3 linked regions of the Callithrix jacchus genome follow. The protein of the gene in region 2 purifies or fractionates together with the protein of the main gene of each other region. This does not show direct contact. Links are inferred from orthologs where the notes say so. Each region holds a gene or a part of one and is shown on either strand. Other genes may lie near its edges. The genes, in order: BCL7A, ARID1A and DPF2.

Region 1 (6,168 bases), on a different chromosome or scaffold from region 2:
GATTCCTCCATCCCTCTCTCTCTCTCTTTCTCCTTTTCTTTCTTCTTTATTTTTTTGAGACAGGGTGGCACTTTGTTACCCCGGCTGCAGTGCAGTGGCGAGCTCTCGGCTGACTGCAGCCTCCACGTTCTGGGCCCAAGCCATCTTCCCCTCAGCCTCCCGAGTAGCTGGGGCTGCAGATGCACACAACCACTCCTGGCTACTTTTTGAATTTTTTGTAGAGAACATGAGATCACCATGTTGCCCAGGCTGATCTCAAACTCCTGAGCCCAGGTGATCCACCCACTTCGGCCTCCCAAAGTGCTGGGATTACATGTGTGAGCCACCACGCCCAGCCTAGATTTCTCTTTATTGTGATCAGATACCCATAAAATTGACCATTGCAACCATTAAAAGTGCACAACTCAGGGTCATTAAGTACATTCACACTGTTCTACAACCATCACCATCTCATTCCAGAACTTTCCTATCACTCCAAAAGGAAACCCCACGCCCATTAGCAGTCACTCCTATTCTCCCCTCCGCCTTGCGCCTGGCAACCACCAGTCTGATTTCTGGCTCTCTGGATTCACCTAGTATTAGATATCTCACGTAAGTGGATTTACACAATATTTGTCCTTTTGTGGCAGGCTTCTTCCACTTAGCATGTTTCAAGGTTCACCCATGTCATAGCATGTATTCATCCCCTTTTGCGGCTGAATAATATTCCATTGTGTGGACAGACATATTTGTCCGTTCATCAGTCATTATTTGAGTTCTGACAGGATATTTTCCTATTTTAAATTGTTAGATATATTTTTTAAAAGTTCCGTGTGGCCCAAAGCACATATCTGTTGATCTCATATCTCTGTCAGATCTGTTTTATGACCTGCTGTTGCATATTTTCCCAGAAAATCCTCAGAACGATTCTTTGAGGTATTTGTATTTGTTCCTTTTTGTTTTGCTTTGTTTTTTTGAGACGCAGTCTTGCTCTGTCACCTAGGCTGGAGAGCAACGGCATGATCTTGGCTCACTGCAACCCCAGGTTCAGGCAATTCTCCTGCCTCAGCCTCCGGAGTCCCTGAGATTACAGGCGCGCACCACCACGCCCCGCTAATTTTTGTATTTTCAGTAGAGACAGAGTTTCACCCTGTTGGCCAGGCTGGTCTCAAACTCCTGACCTTGTGATTTGCCCACCTCAGCCTCCTAAAGTGCTGGAATTACAGATGTGAACACCACGCCTGGCCTTTTTTTTTTTTTTGAGACAGGGTCTCACTCTGTCACCCAGGCTGGAGTGCAGTGGTGTGATCTCCACTCACTGCAACTTCCATCCCCCAGGTTCAAGCGAGTCTCCTGTCTCAGCCTCCAGAGTAGCTGGGATTATAGGTGCCTGCCACCGTGCCTGGCTAATTTTGTATTTTTAGTAGAATGGGTTTCAGCATGTTGGCCAAGCTGGTCTCGAACTCCTGACTTCAGTTGATTCGCCCATCTCAGCCTTCCAAAGTGCTGGGATTACAGGCATGAGCCACTGCGCCCGGCCAGCATTTGTTCTTTTCTTCATTATTCACGTCAGGAGCTTGAGTTTCATAATAGTAAGAATAAATGCCTAGGAAAAGGCCTGCAGTTTCTCCATTTCCTCAGTAGCGTTTTCCCCAAAGACCAAACCCTCAGGGGAAACTGGTCTAGAGTAGCGACAGCTACAACCTTGTTGTATGTTCAGGGCTGCAACCTTGACCATTCCCGGGACTCAGTTTCCCCAGCTGTGAAATGGCAGGCCCAGGGCATGACATTCGGGCCACTCTCAGTCTCCCACTTCATTTCAGGCGCGCGTTAGCTCTGGTCCAGCCGGTTCCGATGCAGCTGAAGACCAAGGTGCGGCACCCAGGTTACCCTGATCATCGCAGATTCCTCTCCGGGGCTCTGTTCTGAGGCCTCAAAAGTCCTCCTTGTAGATGGGACCAGTCCCTTGTACCCGCTAGGGTCGTTTCGGCAGCAGCAGCGCCTGGTCTCAGTCTGGTACTGAAGTCAGGAGTGGCTTAAGGGGAAATTGTGGTCCTCTGGTGAACCCGAGCGAAGACCCTCTCGCTTTATTTCTGAGATAAAGCGGGGGCAGGAGGAAGAGTCCCTGTTACGATGCTGATCATCATCGAGCTTTTCCTGAGCTCGATGAAATTCTTTAGGTCGCATGATCGAGAGTCTCTCGTGGTCTGCCTGGCCCCAGGCACCTTCCTACGAACCCGGTGTTCCAAAAGGACAAGGCCTGGGGCAGGCGACGTCCTAGCTCGCATTCGAACAGGGCCGCGGGCCAGCAGAGACGCGCGATGCCCAACTCTTTCCGAGAGCACCTCGCGTCCCGAACCGGCGCCTTCAACTCGGGGAAGTCAAGAGTCCGGCAAGAAACTTGACCGCACCCGCCGCCGCGCTCCAGGCCCAGGCAGGGGCTGCTGAGCCGGCTCCCCAGGAAACGTGCTCCAGCGCCCCCGCAGACCGGCGGCCTCCCGGGGACCCCTCGGCACCTGCGGCCTCCGAGGAAGGGTCCGCGCGCACTTCAAGCCCGCCCCCGCCGCGCGCCCGGAGCCGCCTCCCTGGGAGAGCGTCCGGGGCGTCCCCCCTGGGGGCGCGGGAGGCCCGGGGGCGCTGCCCGGTGGCCGCCGCGCCCGGAGGCCGCACCGCCGGCGGCGGCAGCAGCGCGGCTCCCCCTGCTCCGTGCAGCTGCCGCCCGGCGCTTGCGCACTGGGCCCAGCGCGCGGCGGCCCCAGGCTTTGTGTGTGTGTGTGTGAGTGTGTGTGTGAGTGTGTGTGTGAGTGTGTGCGTGTGAGAGTGCGAGTGTCTGTGCGCCAGTGAGTGAGCGGCGGGCGGGCGCGAGTGTGGCCGCCGCGGAGCGCGAGCAGGACCCGGCGGGCGCGCTCCCCAGCCTCCGTCTCCCCGCCGGAACCATGTCGGGCAGGTCGGTTCGAGCCGAGACCAGGAGCCGGGCCAAAGATGATATCAAGAGGGTCATGGCGGCGATCGAGAAAGTGCGCAAATGGTAAGCGGAGGCGCCTGCCGCCCGCCGCCTCCCCGGCCGCCCCGAGCCCGAGCGCGGCTCCAGAAAGCCGCGGGGCGCAGCGCCCGGGCCGCCTGCCCCGGCCCGGCCCCGCCGCGGGCCCCGGGACTTGGCTAGGGCGCGCGGGCGGGCGGGCGGTGCGCGAGCCGGGTCACCTGCGCCAGGCGGGGGCCGCGGCCGCTGCCCAGGTGCGCTCGCTCCTGTCGCCCACCTGGCGCGGCGGCGGCGGCGGCCCGGAGGCGGCGGGCGCCGGGGCCGGGCGGTTGGAGCCGCGGGCAGCCCCCACCGCGGCGCTTGGCTCCCGGGAGGGGGGCTCGGGGCCGGCCCCAGAAGCCATTTCGTTTTGTGCAAGTCACATGAAAGCGGCTTCCCGCGCGCCGGGGCCGTGATGCCGGCGGCGGCGGGGAGAGCGCGAGCTCCATTGTGCAGACTCCGAGCGGGCCGCCGCCGCCGTCTCCTCCCCGCGCGCCCTGGCCCGCGCCCCGCCGCTCTCCGCCGGCCCCGGCCCGCCCGGCTGCCCGCTCCCGCCTCCCGGGCCCGGCGCCCTCGAGTCTGCGGAGTTTGCAGAGCGCGAGCCGTTTAAATTTAGCGCTTTGGGCTGCCTGGAGCGAGAGCTCTCGGCGACCAGGAAAGATGGGGGCGAGCGCCGGGAGCCAGCGGCCAGGGGCGCGGGGCGCCCACGTCCCACCCCGCTCTGCGCGGCGCCCGGGGCGGGGGGCTCGGGCCAGCAGATGTTTTTGGCCAGAAGCCGTTGGTCCTGGGCCGCGGCTGCCTTTCCACACCGCGAGCTCGTGTTTGTTTTGCGGAGGGAGCCGTTGTTTTTGTTCTCTGCACGGGGGTGAGGAGGACTCGGCGGCTGTCGCCGCCGCCGCCGCGCGTGGTTTTCGGTCTCCGGTTAGCGTCCGCCCGGCGTGGCCGGGTAGTCATTTAGGGGATCGAACCTCTCCGCGGCCTCGTCCGGGTCTGCTCGGAATCGTCCTCTGGGCCAGGCCCGAGGCGCCAGCAGATCGCTAGGTTGGGTCAGACTTGTTGAAAACTCCCCGCTCCCTGATTTCAACTTTATTATTTTTTTCCCACGCCTTCACCGGGGTCTGGGAGGGAGAAGAGCCGCTGCGATGCTGGCCCCGAGTGTCAGCGCCCGCGGGCTCGTCCCGACCCTTTATTTCGAGCCTGGAAGCCGGGCAGGCCCCTTGGCAAGGGATGTTTACGTTTAGGGGTGTCATTTCTCAAGTAGTGCCTCGGTCTCTAAAAGCCACTGGGGGCGAGCCTCCGGTGTGGCGGTGTCACAAGTTAGCTGTCCCTTCTGAGTCAAACCCAACAAAAAAGGCAAGAGGAAAATCAATAAAGTCCACGTGCTCTCGGGCCTCCTATGGAAAGGGCTGGCTGCGATGGCCGGATGCCCGGCCGTGGGCTGGGTTTGACTCCAGTGGGACAAAGAATTTTCAGAACCGGGAGAAGGGGAGGCTTTCCAAAGTTGAGATCCAAGTCGTCGATGTCTCGGGAGCTCCCCTGGTGCGCAGGGCGCCCGGTGCCCGACTGGAGCCATTTAAAAATGGCAGAAACAGCTGCAGGCCAACACACACACACTAGAAAGCAACCCGCAGCCCCCTCCACTGTGGGATTCCCCGTGGGAACCCTGAAGTGGCTCCCCTCCTCGCCTCAGCCCCTGTGCAAAGAAAGAACTGGTGTGTCTGTGCCTGGGTCCCTTCTGTCGCCGGCCTGAAGGTTGGGAAGCAGCCGGCAAGCCGCCTTTCTCTGCTTGGGGAGGCGTGGTGGGGCCTCCTGCCCCAGGTTCCCGGCAGGGCAGAGGCTCCTGCACTCTGACAGCTGCTCCCGCAGGGCGGCCAGCTGCTCTGCAGGGAGGGCAGATGGAGAGATGGGGCTTTCCACCCCGCGGGCCCCAGGGTGGCCAGCCTGGAGGCCTTCCAGCCCACTGAGCCCACGGGGACCAGGCCTGTAGTTGGGGCTGAGGGAGGCGGGGCTGCGCCTCTACGCCTCCCTGAGTTTGGGGAAACATCACATCGTGTCCTCTGAAGACCTCAGGCGTTGGGATCTCGAGGTCGGGCTTCCAGTTCACTTTCTTGCCGTGACCTTGGGCATATCATGATCACTTCTCTAACCATGGTGACCGGGGCTCTGTGCGTGGCCTCTGGGTCGCCTCGGGTTGTTGAGGACCAGTGAGGTCACGCCTCCAAAAGCAGCGAGCCACGGGCGCAGGAGGAGCAGTTATTCAGGGTTGTCCCTATTGTAAGGTGGACTTTATAGAAACTTGGCTTTCTGATTTTTTTTTTTTTTTTTGGCCCCTTCTAAGTGAAAGCCTTGGACTTATTGCCCAGGTTTCTCCGGCCCCTGAGAAGCCATCGCCCACCTTCTCCGTGCCTTTGGATTGGGTCTTCGACTCAGCCCACAAAACTTTGGGTTGTTTATTAATTGTGTGGCCACCAACCATGCATTTCACCACTGGCCGGGAGGTGGGGTTGCCAGGTTTAAGCAGAAAAAATGCAGCACACCCAGTTAAATTCAAATTTCAGATAATGTTTTAAAAATAAATGTTTTTGTGTGTAAGTATGTCTCATGCCATATTTGGGACATACTTATACGAAAACATTATCTGTTTATCTGAAATGGAAATTTAACAAGGAATCCTGTATTTTTTTACCCAGAGGGGAGCTGAGGTGTCTGGCAGACGATTTGGCCCCGTGAGCCTTGGGTGGGTTTCTCCTCAGCCCCAGTGACCCCTAAAATTACACCCCCTCAAACCATCCCCTGGCACTTCCCCCACCCCCAGAAAAAGCTGTGGCCTTCCTCTCATTTCCCTGTTTTCTGTCTGGTGTTTCAGCAAGACAGGCCGGTGCAGTGTTAAGTAAGCAGAATGTGGCAGAAGGGAAAACAAAATGGTGGGCCTCTTTTGGGAAACCGGGCCAGGATTCCGAGGCCCTGTGCTGGAGGAGGAAAGAAGGGGCCTGTGGGAGACGAAGGCTTGGGCTGCAGCATAGGCTTGGAGTCCCAGTGTGGTGGCTCACGCCTATAATCCCAGCACTCTGGGAGGCTGAGATGGGAGGATGACTTGAACCTAGGAGTTTGAGACCAGCCTGGGCAACATAGTGAGACTCCATCTCTTTTTTATTTTTATTTTTCATTTT
Region 2 (5,518 bases):
TGACATAGAGATGGGAGTCTGGATATTTCCCCCAAGGCCATCTCCAACCATGAAGACTTAGCTCACCCACTCTAGAAAGTATTCCTATGCACCTCTGCCCCATCTAGGTTGTCCCCCTCTGTGGCTCTCTAAACTCCTCTCTGGTATCATGGGTACCATATCAGCAGACATTTTAACCTATTGAACTTCCTTTGTGTATAGGGACTGGAAAATCCTTGTTCCCAGGCCTTGGGACAGGCTTACCATATGGTAAATGAATAAGCATAAGAATACATGAAGAAGAAGACCTGTCCAGCTAGAGCAGAAAGACTAATTGTAAGGAGCATCTAGGAAATGGGCTTGGTCAGTGTGCCCTGAAGCTGAGGGAAGGAGGCAAAACTGTAGGTTGGCTGCTGGGGAGGTACAAAAGTCATAAGGCGGCCCTGGGCGGGGTGCAGTGGCTCACACCTGTAATCCTAGCACTTTGGGAGGCCGAGATGGTTGAATCACCTGAGGTCAGGATTTAAGACCAGCCTGACCAACATGGCAAAACCCTGTCTCTACTAAAAATACAAAAATTAGTGGGGCGTGGTAAACCAGGCGCCTATAGTCCCACTACTTGGGAGGCTGAGGCAGGGGGATCACTTGAACCCAGGAGGCAGAGGTTGCAGTGAGCCAAAATGGCACCACTACACTCCAGCCTGGATGACAAAGTGAGACTCTTTAAATAAATAAATAAGGCGCTGAACATCTGGACAATTAGGACAGTGACTGATGAGGTAAAGGGACCTGTGGTTGTTTGTCACTGAGATATGTAGGAGAGCAGTGGCACAAGAATGTCAAATTTGCAGAGAGTGCCATGCCAAGAAAAAAAATCAGATGTGTAAATCCCCAGTTTGACAAAGCAAGTCAAGCAGGGTAGTCATTGATACTATCACAAGTCTCCATTTTATAAAATGTTAGTTTTTAGTAGTACATTTAAAATAGGATTTAGGGCCAGGTGCAGTGGCTCAAGCTTGTAATCCCAGCACTTTGAGAGTCTGAGGAGGGCAGATGACTTGAGGTGAGGAGGGCAGATCACTTGAGGCCAGGAGTTTGAGACCAGCCTGGCCAACATGGTGAAATGCTGTCTCTACTAAAAATACAAAAATTAGCCAGGTGTGGTGGTGCACTCCTGTAATCCCAGCTACTTGGGAGGCTGAGGTAAGAGTATCGCTTGAGCCCGGGAGGCAGAAATTGCAGCAAGTTAAGCTCGTGCCACTGCATTCCAGCCTAGGCGACAGAGCGAGATTTATTTTTTCTGTCTCAGAAAAAGTAGGGTTTAAATAGGCAGATGATTTGTACACCATTTTTCGGCAGTATACTAAAAAACTGGATTTAACACTTGTTGTGAACTATCCACCAAGCAAGATTAACTTTTGTAATTACCTAAGAACTGTGATTCTACAAAAATGAATTACCTTGCAGCCTGATAGGGCTTGTGGCTTATGGACAGGAAAACCAGGCAGGAGATATACCCCGACTCTTGTGGTTTGGTTATACAGGTCAACAAGAACAAAAAATGGCGGGAACTTGCAACAAACCTCAATGTGGGCACATCAAGCAGTGCTGCCAGCTCCTTGAAAAAGCAGTATATCCAGTGTCTCTATGCCTTTGAGTGCAAGATTGAACGGGGAGAAGATCCTCCCCCAGACATCTTTGCAGCTGCCGATTCCAAGAAGTCCCAGCCCAAGATCCAGCCTCCCTCTCCTGGTAAGGATGGGGTCAGCAGCCCCACTAAGGCTGAGAGGGCCTACTGCACCTGCCTCCAGCAGGATATGCCAAGGATCTGTGCTCTTGCCCTACCACAGGTCTTAACAGGTTGGCTGAATAGAGAGTGGGCAGTGGAAACTTCCCTGGGAGGTACTCTTCAGCAGCCCTTAAATTTTAATTTTTGTTGTGCACCTGGCAACTTGCCAAATGTTTGTAAACTGGTGAATGGGAGGGGCACAAGAAGAGTGGGGAAACTGACAAATGGCAGCAAAGCAGGGCCATCTGGAAGCTTTGGCCCATTGATGTCAGCACCTTAGAATGCAGCTCACACTAGAGCCCTGAATTCCCCAGGGAGCTGAGATAGTAATGAATGAGGAGGGAGTGGGGAAGGGATATGAATGGAACTCTCTGATGGGAGTGCCTCTGCCTACCCTCCATTCTGAGAGGAGGCTGAGACCTAGGGCGAGCCTGGGGAGGAAAGAAGGCCAGGGTGCCTGGAAGGTGGGTGTAAACACATGTGCCCTGGTGTTGACCTCTGAGGGTGTAATGAGTGCCTGAGATGACTCATCAGCTGGGGAGGCCTCAGCAGTGGGATATCTACTGCTGGGAATGGTAACTATTGGAAACATTAAATTACTAGTAGTTTTGTGCTTATCAGCTTAGAAGAACATTTGAACTTGAGGGATGACACTATGCTGGATGCTTTAGAACAGGAGCTCTCCTAGGCTCCTAAAATGCATCCCAGATTTGGATTCCACCCTACCCAGGATTTGGGAGGTTCTGACTGGAGCTCCTGCACCAGCATTACAGGATTTAATAGGTTAGACAAGGTCCTTGGAGAAGTGAAGAGAAATAGCCAGGGAAGCTGGCAGTGACTCAAGGAATCACCAGCATAGTGATGTCATGGCCGCATCACTTCTCTTCTCTACATGTAAAACAAAAAGAGCTACAAAACCCTCAAATTTCCTTCTTTATGACCTGGATATTGCAGATCTTCTGATAAGAATGGTGATCACGCTTGAAAGGCCTTAGGAAGAACTTTCTCAAAGAGATTCTGGGTCATTCATGTGTTTTTGTGAGAGTTAAACACTTCCATACCAAGCAAACTGCTCAACTTGCTTCTCTGTCCACAGCGGGATCAGGATCTATGCAGGGGCCCCAGACTCCTCAGTCAACCAGCAGTTCCATGGCAGAAGGAGGAGACTTAAAGCCACCAACTCCAGCATCCACACCACACAGTCAGATCCCTCCCTTGCCAGGCATGAGGTAAGGCCAAGAGCAGAGGTGGATGGTTGAGGGGATGGTTGGAGATAAGTGCATGGGAACTCCTTTGCAGCCCAAGGGTGGTCCCTGCCTCTGCCTTCTCAGCCAGTGACTCCTGCGTGTCCTGTGTTATATTGGAGGAATTGGTCTATCTGGGGTTTAATTGATTTTCCTCACTCTGGAGCAGGAGCAATTCGGTTGGGATCCAGGATGCCTTTAATGATGGAAGTGACTCCACATTCCAGAAGCGGAATTCCATGACTCCAAACCCTGGGTATCAGCCCAGTATGAATACCTCTGACATGATGGGGCGCATGTCCTATGAGCCAAATAAGGATCCTTATGGCAGCATGAGGAAAGGTGACTGATCTGATTGCTATTGAACTTGTACTCTTAAAGACAGGGCCAGTGAAATGGGGGAAAATCTTGAGTGATTCAGGGTTCTTGTGGAGCCAATCTCTGAGATAATGCATTTCCTGTCCTAACTACCCCTCTTCATCCCTACCTCCTTTGTCTCTTCCCTGGCCTCACCTTGACATCCCTTAACAAGTACATGCTTTTTGCTGGTTGGGGCATCTTTAGAACTCTGTTTTGAACTTGTCTGGAAAACAGTGAGATCAAACCTGAACTCTGAAAAGGGCCTGGGTCTTTGGAGCAGGCAAAGTGTAGATTACTAGGCTTGCCAACTTGCCAGTTTGTTCACTGCCTGCCTTTATACACTCAGCTCCAGGGAGTGATCCCTTCATGTCCTCAGGGCAGGGCCCCAACGGCGGGATGGGTGACCCCTACAGCCGTGCTGCCGGCCCTGGTCTTGGAAATGTGGCAATGGGACCACGACAGCACTATCCCTATGGAGGTCCTTATGACAGAGTGAGGTAAGCATGGCACCAGCTCCTATCCATCCCCCAGCACCCAGAGCTATAGTGGGCTCAATCCACCTCTCCAATTTTCTTTAGGACGGAGCCTGGAATAGGGCCTGAGGGAAACATGGGCACTGGGGCCCCACAACCGAATCTCATGCCTTCTAACCCAGACTCGGGGATGTATTCTCCTAGCCGCTACCCCCCACAGCAGCAGCAGCAGCAGCAACGGTGAGTAAAGCCTGCTCCCAGTGCTGCTGTGACTCAGACTTTGCCACTGCCCACCCTGATCATGTGTTTCTTTGCCTCCTGTAGACATGATTCCTATGGCAATCAGTTTTCCACCCAAGGCACCCCTTCTGGCAGCCCCTTCCCCAGCCAACAGACCACAATGTATCCACAGCAGCAGCAGGTGAGGAGGGTAGCTGGGAATGGACTAGCATGTAGATTCCCTTTGAAAGATAGTTACTAATGTGTTAAAGTCTAAGAAGCTCACTTTAAGTATTTTGGCATTCTTCTCTCACCTGACTGGCCATTTGGGCCCAAAGAGCCAAGTCCTCGATCTCTTCTGTTTGGAGCTGGAAAGGGCTAGAAATAGATCTTATTTTGATTTTTAGGTTTTATATATTTTTCTACTTAGAGCAAGGGAGGGGAAGAAAGAGTGGTGGTTGCTTTTGGAAACAACTTAAAAAGACAGTTTGTTAAGGTGATTCCTTTGTTTCCTTGGAGTCTGTGTCCACCATTCATTTGGTTGTAGCCATCTTGGCATCTGTGGGCTTTATGTCTCTGAGTGCAGAGCATTAACTTGTCCTCTGCTTCTCTCTGCCTTAGAATTACAAGCGGCCAATGGATGGCACATATGGCCCTCCTGCTAAGCGGCATGAAGGGGAGATGTACAGTGTGCCATACAGCACTGGGCAGGGGCAGCCTCAGCAGCAGCAGTTGCCCCCAGCCCAGCCCCAGCCTGCCAGCCAGCAACAAGCTGCCCAGCCTTCCCCTCAGCAAGATGTATACAACCAGTATGGCAATGCCTATCCTGCCACTGCCACTGCTGCTACTGAGCGCCGACCAGCAGGCGGCCCCCAGAACCAATTTCCATTCCAGTTTGGCCGAGACCGTGTCTCTGCACCCCCTGGCACCAGTGCCCAGCAAAACATGCCACCGCAAATGATGGGCGGCCCCATACAGGCATCAGCTGAGGTTGCTCAGCAAGGCACTATGTGGCAGGGGCGTAATGACATGACCTATAATTATGCCAACAGGCAGAGCACGGGCTCTGCCCCCCAGGGCCCCGCCTATCATGGCGTGAACCGAACAGATGAAATGCTGCACACAGATCAGAGGGCCAATCATGAAGGCCCATGGCCTTCGCATGGCACACGCCAGCCCCCATATGGTTCCTCTGCTCCCGTGCCCCCCATGACAAGGCCCCCTCCATCTAACTACCAGCCCCCACCAAGCATGCAGAATCACATTCCTCAGGTATCAAGCCCTGCTCCCCTGCCCCGGCCAATGGAGAACCGTACCTCTCCTAGCAAGTCTCCATTCCTGCACTCTGGGATGAAAATGCAGAAGGCAGGTCCCCCAGTGCCTGCCTCACACATAGCACCTGCCCCTGTGCAGCCCCCCATGATTCGGCGGGATATCACCTTCCCACCTGGCTC
Region 3 (6,312 bases), on a different chromosome or scaffold from region 2:
CGGGTTCAAGCGATTCTCCTGCCTCAGCCTCCCGAGTAGCTTGGATTACAGGCACGCGCCACCACGTTAAGAAACATTAAGTTTATCCTGCCCCCATGGCTCCTTTGTGGAGGATACCTTTTAGTTTGTACTTAGTGGTGGGCGGGTAACAGCTGCCTACTTGGTATAGTCTGGAGTTATGTGTATATGTAGAACACCTGTGCATTAGTAAGAATCACCTGTCAAAGAGTGAATAATTACGTGGATGAATCTCTGCTCAGGGCCTTCAGTCCTGGAGAGCTGCAAGGCCCGCAGGCTCTCAGGCTGTTGGTCCCCAGGACAGATCCACTCTGTTGGCTATCCGGGTGTCTGCCTCTCTGAATACCTTCAGCCGCCTGGGTGGGAGTCCCCCAACTGAGCTAGTTCTCGGTAACCATGCCCAGCTAATTTTTGTATTTTTAGTAGATACAAAGTTTCACTATGTTGGCCAGGGTGGTGTCCAACCCCTGACCTCAAGTGATCCACCTGCCTTGGCCTCCCAAAGTGTTGGAATTACAGGCGTGAGCCACTGTGCCCGGTCACCCAGCTAATTTTTAAAAAAACATTTTAGGTCAGGCACGGGGGCCCATGCCTACAATCCCAGCACTATGGGAAGCTCAGGCAGGCAGATCACCTGAGGTCAGGAGTTCAAGACCAGCCTGGCCAACATGGTGAAACCCCCATCTCTACTAAAAATACAAAACTTAGCCAGACATGGTGGCACAGGCCTGTAATCCCAGCTACTTGGGAAGCTGAGGCAGGAGAATCTCTTGAACCCGGGAGGTGGAGTTTGCAGTGAGCCGAGATCATACCACTGCACTTCAGCCTGGGCAACAGAGCAAGACTGTGTCTCACAAAAAAAAAATCTACTACCATCTTCTCTGGGTTTTTCTTCCAAGCTGCTAACACCTATTCTGCATGTTTTGATACTCGTACAGGGTTAGGAATGACAAAAACTCTCACCTGCTAAGTATGATTTTAAGACACAGCAATGGTAAGATGTGTCCAGCTTCTGAAATATTAAAATGAAGGGGGAGATTTATGTGCATCTTGGAATTGGTGATATAAGATATATTGGAAAGATGACAAGTACCAAAGACCAAGCCCTGAGGATTCTGACAGTTAGAGGCTGAGCAGAGGAAGAGACTGGAAGGAACTGCCAGTGGGGTAGGACAACCGGGAGGGGGTGGCGTCTCAAAGATCTGCAGAAGAGTTTGAAAAGCAGAGTGGCCAACAGTGTCATGGGGTTGACAGGCCCATGAGGACAGAGAAGACATCTCTAAATCTGCTGAAAGGGAGGTCAGGGTTACAGGAGCTAGTTCAAGTGAACAGGTGGGAACCAATTGGGTGGAAGGGGGACTTGGAAACAAGGCAACAGAGACAGGGAGTACTATTTGCTTTGAAAGACTGAAAAGAGGTGATAGTGAAGGTCGACTGTGCTGGGGTTTTTGTTTGTTTATTTTTTTTGACACAAGGTTCGCTTTGTCGCCCAGGCTGGAGTGCAGTGGTGCGATTACGGCTCACTCAGCTTCTACCCTCCTGTGCTCAAGCGATCTGGTCACCTCAGCATCTTGAGTAGCTGGGGCCACAGGCACATGCCACCACACCCGGGTAATTTTTTAATTTTTAGTAGAGACGAGGACTCCCTAAGTTTCCCAGGCTGGTCTCAAACTCCTGAGCTCAAAGCAATCCTCCGGCCTCCGCCACCCAAAGTGCTGGGAGCCACCGCGACGGGCCTCCTCCAGCTCTTTTTTTTTTAAGGTGGGGTCTCGCTCTGTAGCCCAGGCAGGAGTGCAATGGTGCAATCCCAGTTCACTGCAACCTCCGCCTTCCCGGGTTCAAAGGATTCTCCCCCTCAGCCTCCCAAGTAGCTGGGATTACAGGCACCTGACATCATGCCCGGCTAATTTTTCTATTTTTAGTAAAGGCAGGGTTTCACCATGTTGGCCAGACTGGTCTCGAACTCCTGAGCCCAACCGATCCACGGGCCTTGGCCTCCCAAAGTGCTGGGATTACAGGCGTGAGCCACCTCGCCCTGCCCCACCTCTTCTAGATAGAAGAGGCGGCCCGCCTCCAACCGAGCTCCGGGACGCATGCCAGTCTCCGGTTTCGCCTGCGCATCGGTCTCCCGTGCGGTCTCACGCGTTTCCTTCCCGGCCCCCGCAGACAAGCGTAGAGCTTTCTTCAGTACTCGCTCTCGTGCGCGCGCCCGGGCGGCGCCTGCGCAGAGGGCGAGGAACCTGGTGCCCCCGTGTGGTCCCGGCGCCTGCGCGCTGCGGACTCTGGGGCCTCCCGGCCCGAGGGAGAGGAGCAGGGAAGATGGCGGCTGTGGTGGAGAATGTCGTGAAGCTGTGAGTGGTCGTTTCTTTCTCTCCTAGGGCGGCAGGTTTTGTAAAGGGCCTGGGAGGAGGGGGCCGTGCGGGAAGAGATGAGACGGAGAGAGGGACATGCCCGGCAAGATCGTGTTGCGACTCCTGGTGGGGAGGGCAACAGGAGACTCTGGAGAAGACGTTGCGCTTCTTTGGAAACTTGTGGAGGCCCTGATGGGGGCACACTGGAGCCTCGACGGGCGGCCTCCCTGCGGGGCTGTGTAGCCTGAGCGTTCCTCGGGGCTGACGGTTTCTAGAGCATGGCGCCCTGCCTGCGCGCGAGACTCACGGTCCCGGTCCTCTCCCCAGACGCCTCAGTCCCGAGGAGCGGGGCTGAGGCCCGGGCGGCCCCTGGCGAGTCCGCCGCCCAAACCGCCCGGTCCCGTCCCGTCCGCTGCAGCAACAGGGTCGGCGGCCCCAGTGGGGTGCACTGCGGGGCTGGATGTTTTAGTTCCGAGCGGCCCCGTGACGTTTGGGAGGATCTTGGGTGGCGGGCACCTAAGACTGCAAATATTCTTGGGAAGAATTTGTCGAAGAGCGGATACAAGAAGGGAAGGAACTTCAGGGGAGCGGGCCTTGGCGCAGTCCAGAAGCAGCCATCAAAAACCTGCGGCTGGACCGAAGCCGTTCAGGACAGCTCAGTAGCCTAAAGGGACATCCAGATGGGTATTCTTCCTATTTCACGGTACCATTGTGCTGGCCAGATATCAAGCAGAGTTAAAGTTAGTATTTGTTGGGGCCATGGACACTGGCCTATGAACTGCTTCCTGTCAGTTAAAGATGCTTTGGGACTTGATTAATTCCTACAGAAGAATGAGAACGAGTTTTGGACTGGGTTAATGCCCCCTAGGCGAATAGAGCTTCTTTTAATGGGTACGTTGGGCTTGGTGGAAGGGTGGGAAAATTGAGGATGTCTAGCTGTCCAGTCAGGGCTGTTGGATTTTGACGGAATGAATGACAGTGGAAGAGTGGGAAAATTGAGGATGTCTAGCTGTCCAGTCAGGGCTGTTGGATTTTGACTGAATGACAGTGGAAGGGTGGGAAAATTGAGGATGTCTAGCTGTCCAGTCAGGGCTGTTGGATTTTGACTGAATGACAAAGTAGAGGTTCGCTAGCTGTTCTAAGGGACTCACCGCTTTTCATCCGTCTTTATCGTGGGCTGAGCCCCACTCTTCCTAAGAGCCTTTTTAAAGAGTAAACTGCTTCTCCCTCATGCCCTGAAGCCTTTTCTTTGAGAATGCTTTCCCACTTCCATTAAGCTAAGTGCCTTTCCTCCTCGTGTGTGTGTGTGTGTGTGTGTGTGTGTGTGTGTTTCATTTAACTTGCTTTCTGATCTATCCTGTCTCTTTCAGCCACCCTCCTCCCAACACTATTGTCTTTCTCTCTGATCTGCCCACTCCAGTTTCGCAGCTCTCTTGAGGCTGACATTTTTCTCAATTTAGAAATGACACTGTTTGTATACCGGTTATCCTTCCTGGCTGAGATGTTCTTTGTTTCCCTGCGTCTTTGTTGACTTCCCTTATCCCATTGGAAGGGGATGTTTTACACGGGTTTCTCCAAAAATAAAAAGAAAGATTCCCCTTGTACTGGAGGAATATCAGACTTGCCTATGTTTTGAGAGTTAAACGTAGTGGGGCTTTTTGTGTTGGAAGACTTTCCTCAGGGAGATAGGGTTGCCAGTGCTTTCAAGTTGTGTCATAAGTGAGGGGTTCCCATTTAAACCGCATGACTTCTGATTTCTCTTGGAAAAACTATAGAGATTGTTTCACCTGCCACTAATTCCTGAATGCCAGTAATGAGAAACCAACTTTCTCCTCATTTCTGGCTGTACAGGGCCTCAGACCACAGTTAATACGTACTCCTGCAGAATGATCCCTTTAACAAGGGCTTCCATTCTTCCAGTTCATTGGAAAGAGATGCTTTTCTGGCACTTCTCTTGATTATAGTGTGCCTAGTCTTCTGACAGTTGATATTATACACTGAGGTCGGGACCACTAGCTCATATTTTCTTTTATTTTTTTGAGACAGAGTCTTGCTGTTGTCAGCCCAGGATGGAGTGCAGTGACACCATCTCGGCTCACTGCAACCTCAGCCTCCCAGGTTCCAGCAATTATCCTGCCTCAGCCTCCTGAATAGCTGAAAGGCAACCCACCACCACACCCAGCGGGTTTCAACATGTTGGCCGGGCTGGTCTTGAACTCCTGACCTCAGAGGTGATCCACGGGTCTCAGCCTCATAAAATGCTAGGATTACAGGCATGAGTCACCGCACCCAGCCACTCAACTTTCTGACTTGCATCTTGTCCTGGGAGAAGAATTTTCTTATTTGTAAATTTCTGTCCCTTCCAAATGTGATGTCAGAAATAAAAATCTTGGCTGAGCAGGGTGGCTCACGCCTGTTATCCCAACACTTGGGGAGGCCAAGGTGGGTGGATCGCTTGAGGTCAGGAGTTCAAGACCAGCCTGGCCAACATGGTGAGACTCCATCTCTACTAAAAATAGAAAAATTAGCCGGGTGTACTGGCACACACCTGTAGTCCCAGCTACTCAGGAGGCTGAGGCATATGAATTGTCTGAACCCGGGAGGCAGAGGTTTCAGTGAGCTGATATCACACCACTGCCCTCCAGCCTGAGTGACACCTTAAGACTCTGTCTTTAAAAAAAAGAGGCTCGGCACAGTGGCTCACAGCTATAATCCCAGCACGTTGGGAAGCCAAGGCAGGCAGATCACAAGGTCAGTTTTCAAGACCAGCATGGCCAATGTGGTGAAACCCAGTCTCTACTAAAAATACAAAAATTAGGCATGGTGGTGCGCGCCTGTAGTCCCAGTTAGTTACTCAGGAGGCTGAGGCAGGAGAATTGCTTGAACCCAGGAGGTGGAGGTTGCAGCGAGTTGAGATGGTGCCACTGTACTCCAGCCTGGGCAACAGAGCAATATTCTGTCTCGAGAAAAAAAAAAATCTTTTAAGGTTCTTACGAGGAGAGTAAAATAAAAGTATAGCTGTAGCTGCTGATTGGTTTTTAAACTTTCTATAGACAAGAGCTAGAGGCCGGCACAGTGGCTCATGCCTGTAATCCTAGCACTTAGGGAGGCCAAAGCAGGCAGATCATGAGATCAAGAGTTTGAGACCAGCTTGGCCAAAATGGTGAAACCCCATCTACACTAAAAATGCAAAAGTTAGCTGGGCATACTGGCGTGTGTCTGTAAGCTCATCTACTCAGGAGCCTGAGGCAGGAGGATCATTGGAACCTGGGAGGCAGAGGTTGCAGTGAGCTGTCATGCCACTGCACTCCAGCCTGGGCAAAAGACTAAGACTCTGTCTTAAAAAAAAAAAAAAAAAAAAAAAAAAAAGATCTAGAGAACAGTGCTAATTTAGCTTGACATTTCTTGCTTAGAGAGCGTTAAGTTTTTGTTGTTGTTGTTGTTTTGTTTTGTTTTGTTTTAAGAGATAGAGCCTCCCTCTGTTCCCCAGGCTGAAGTGCAATGGTGTAACCTTGGTTTACTGCACCCTCAGCTTCCTAGGCTCAAATCATCCCCTACCTCATTTCCCCCAGGGACTTCGTAGGACCACAGGTGTGCACCACCGTGCCTAGCTGATTTTTTTTTTAAAACATTTTGTAGAGATGAGATCTCACTATATTGCCCAGGGTGGTCTCTCACTCTTGAGCTCAAGAGATCCACCTGCCTTGTCCTTTCAAAGTGCTAGGATTACAGGTATGAGCCACTGTGCCCAGCTCCCTTAAGTTCTTAAGAGCTCACTCTCATTCTGTCTTGTTCTCTCTTCATCACATTCTCCCCACACATACACTTAAGTGTTTCGTTCCCAGCCCTTTACCCCCAAGACTGTTTGCCTTACCTTCTGAAATCCCACAAAGCTCACAAGAGCTTTGACAGAACATCTCTCATCCATTCCCCCAAAACTGTT

What was found.
Region 1: the proteins of ARID1A (region 2) and BCL7A purify together in Homo sapiens (affinity purification with mass spectrometry; 5 studies listed by BioGRID and IntAct, counting the BioPlex papers as one, with this or other methods). This does not show direct contact. The link is inferred for Callithrix jacchus from reciprocal best matches to the Homo sapiens genes ARID1A and BCL7A.
Region 3: the proteins of ARID1A (region 2) and DPF2 purify together in Homo sapiens (affinity purification with mass spectrometry; 6 studies listed by BioGRID and IntAct, counting the BioPlex papers as one, with this or other methods). This does not show direct contact. The link is inferred for Callithrix jacchus from reciprocal best matches to the Homo sapiens genes ARID1A and DPF2.

The regions. Positions count from the first base shown.
Region 1 is NC_133510.1:125,226,318-125,232,485, forward strand, and holds the start of BCL7A (B-cell CLL/lymphoma 7 protein family member A), read left to right. Parts: upstream 1-2,743; 5' UTR 2,744-2,915; coding exon 2,916-3,007; intron 3,008-6,168.
Region 2 is NC_133508.1:63,424,876-63,430,393, forward strand, and holds part of ARID1A (AT-rich interactive domain-containing protein 1A), read left to right. Parts: intron 1-1,523; coding exon 1,524-1,731; intron 1,732-2,864; coding exon 2,865-2,997; intron 2,998-3,178; coding exon 3,179-3,354; intron 3,355-3,718; coding exon 3,719-3,869; intron 3,870-3,950; coding exon 3,951-4,085; intron 4,086-4,169; coding exon 4,170-4,266; intron 4,267-4,685; coding exon 4,686-5,518. UniProt on the Homo sapiens protein: Involved in transcriptional activation and repression of select genes by chromatin remodeling (alteration of DNA-nucleosome topology).
Region 3 is NC_133511.1:122,416,280-122,422,591, forward strand, and holds the start of DPF2 (zinc finger protein ubi-d4), read left to right. Parts: upstream 1-2,295; 5' UTR 2,296-2,337; coding exon 2,338-2,369; intron 2,370-6,312. UniProt on the Homo sapiens protein: Plays an active role in transcriptional regulation by binding modified histones H3 and H4. Is a negative regulator of myeloid differentiation of hematopoietic progenitor cells. Might also have a role in the development and maturation of lymphoid cells.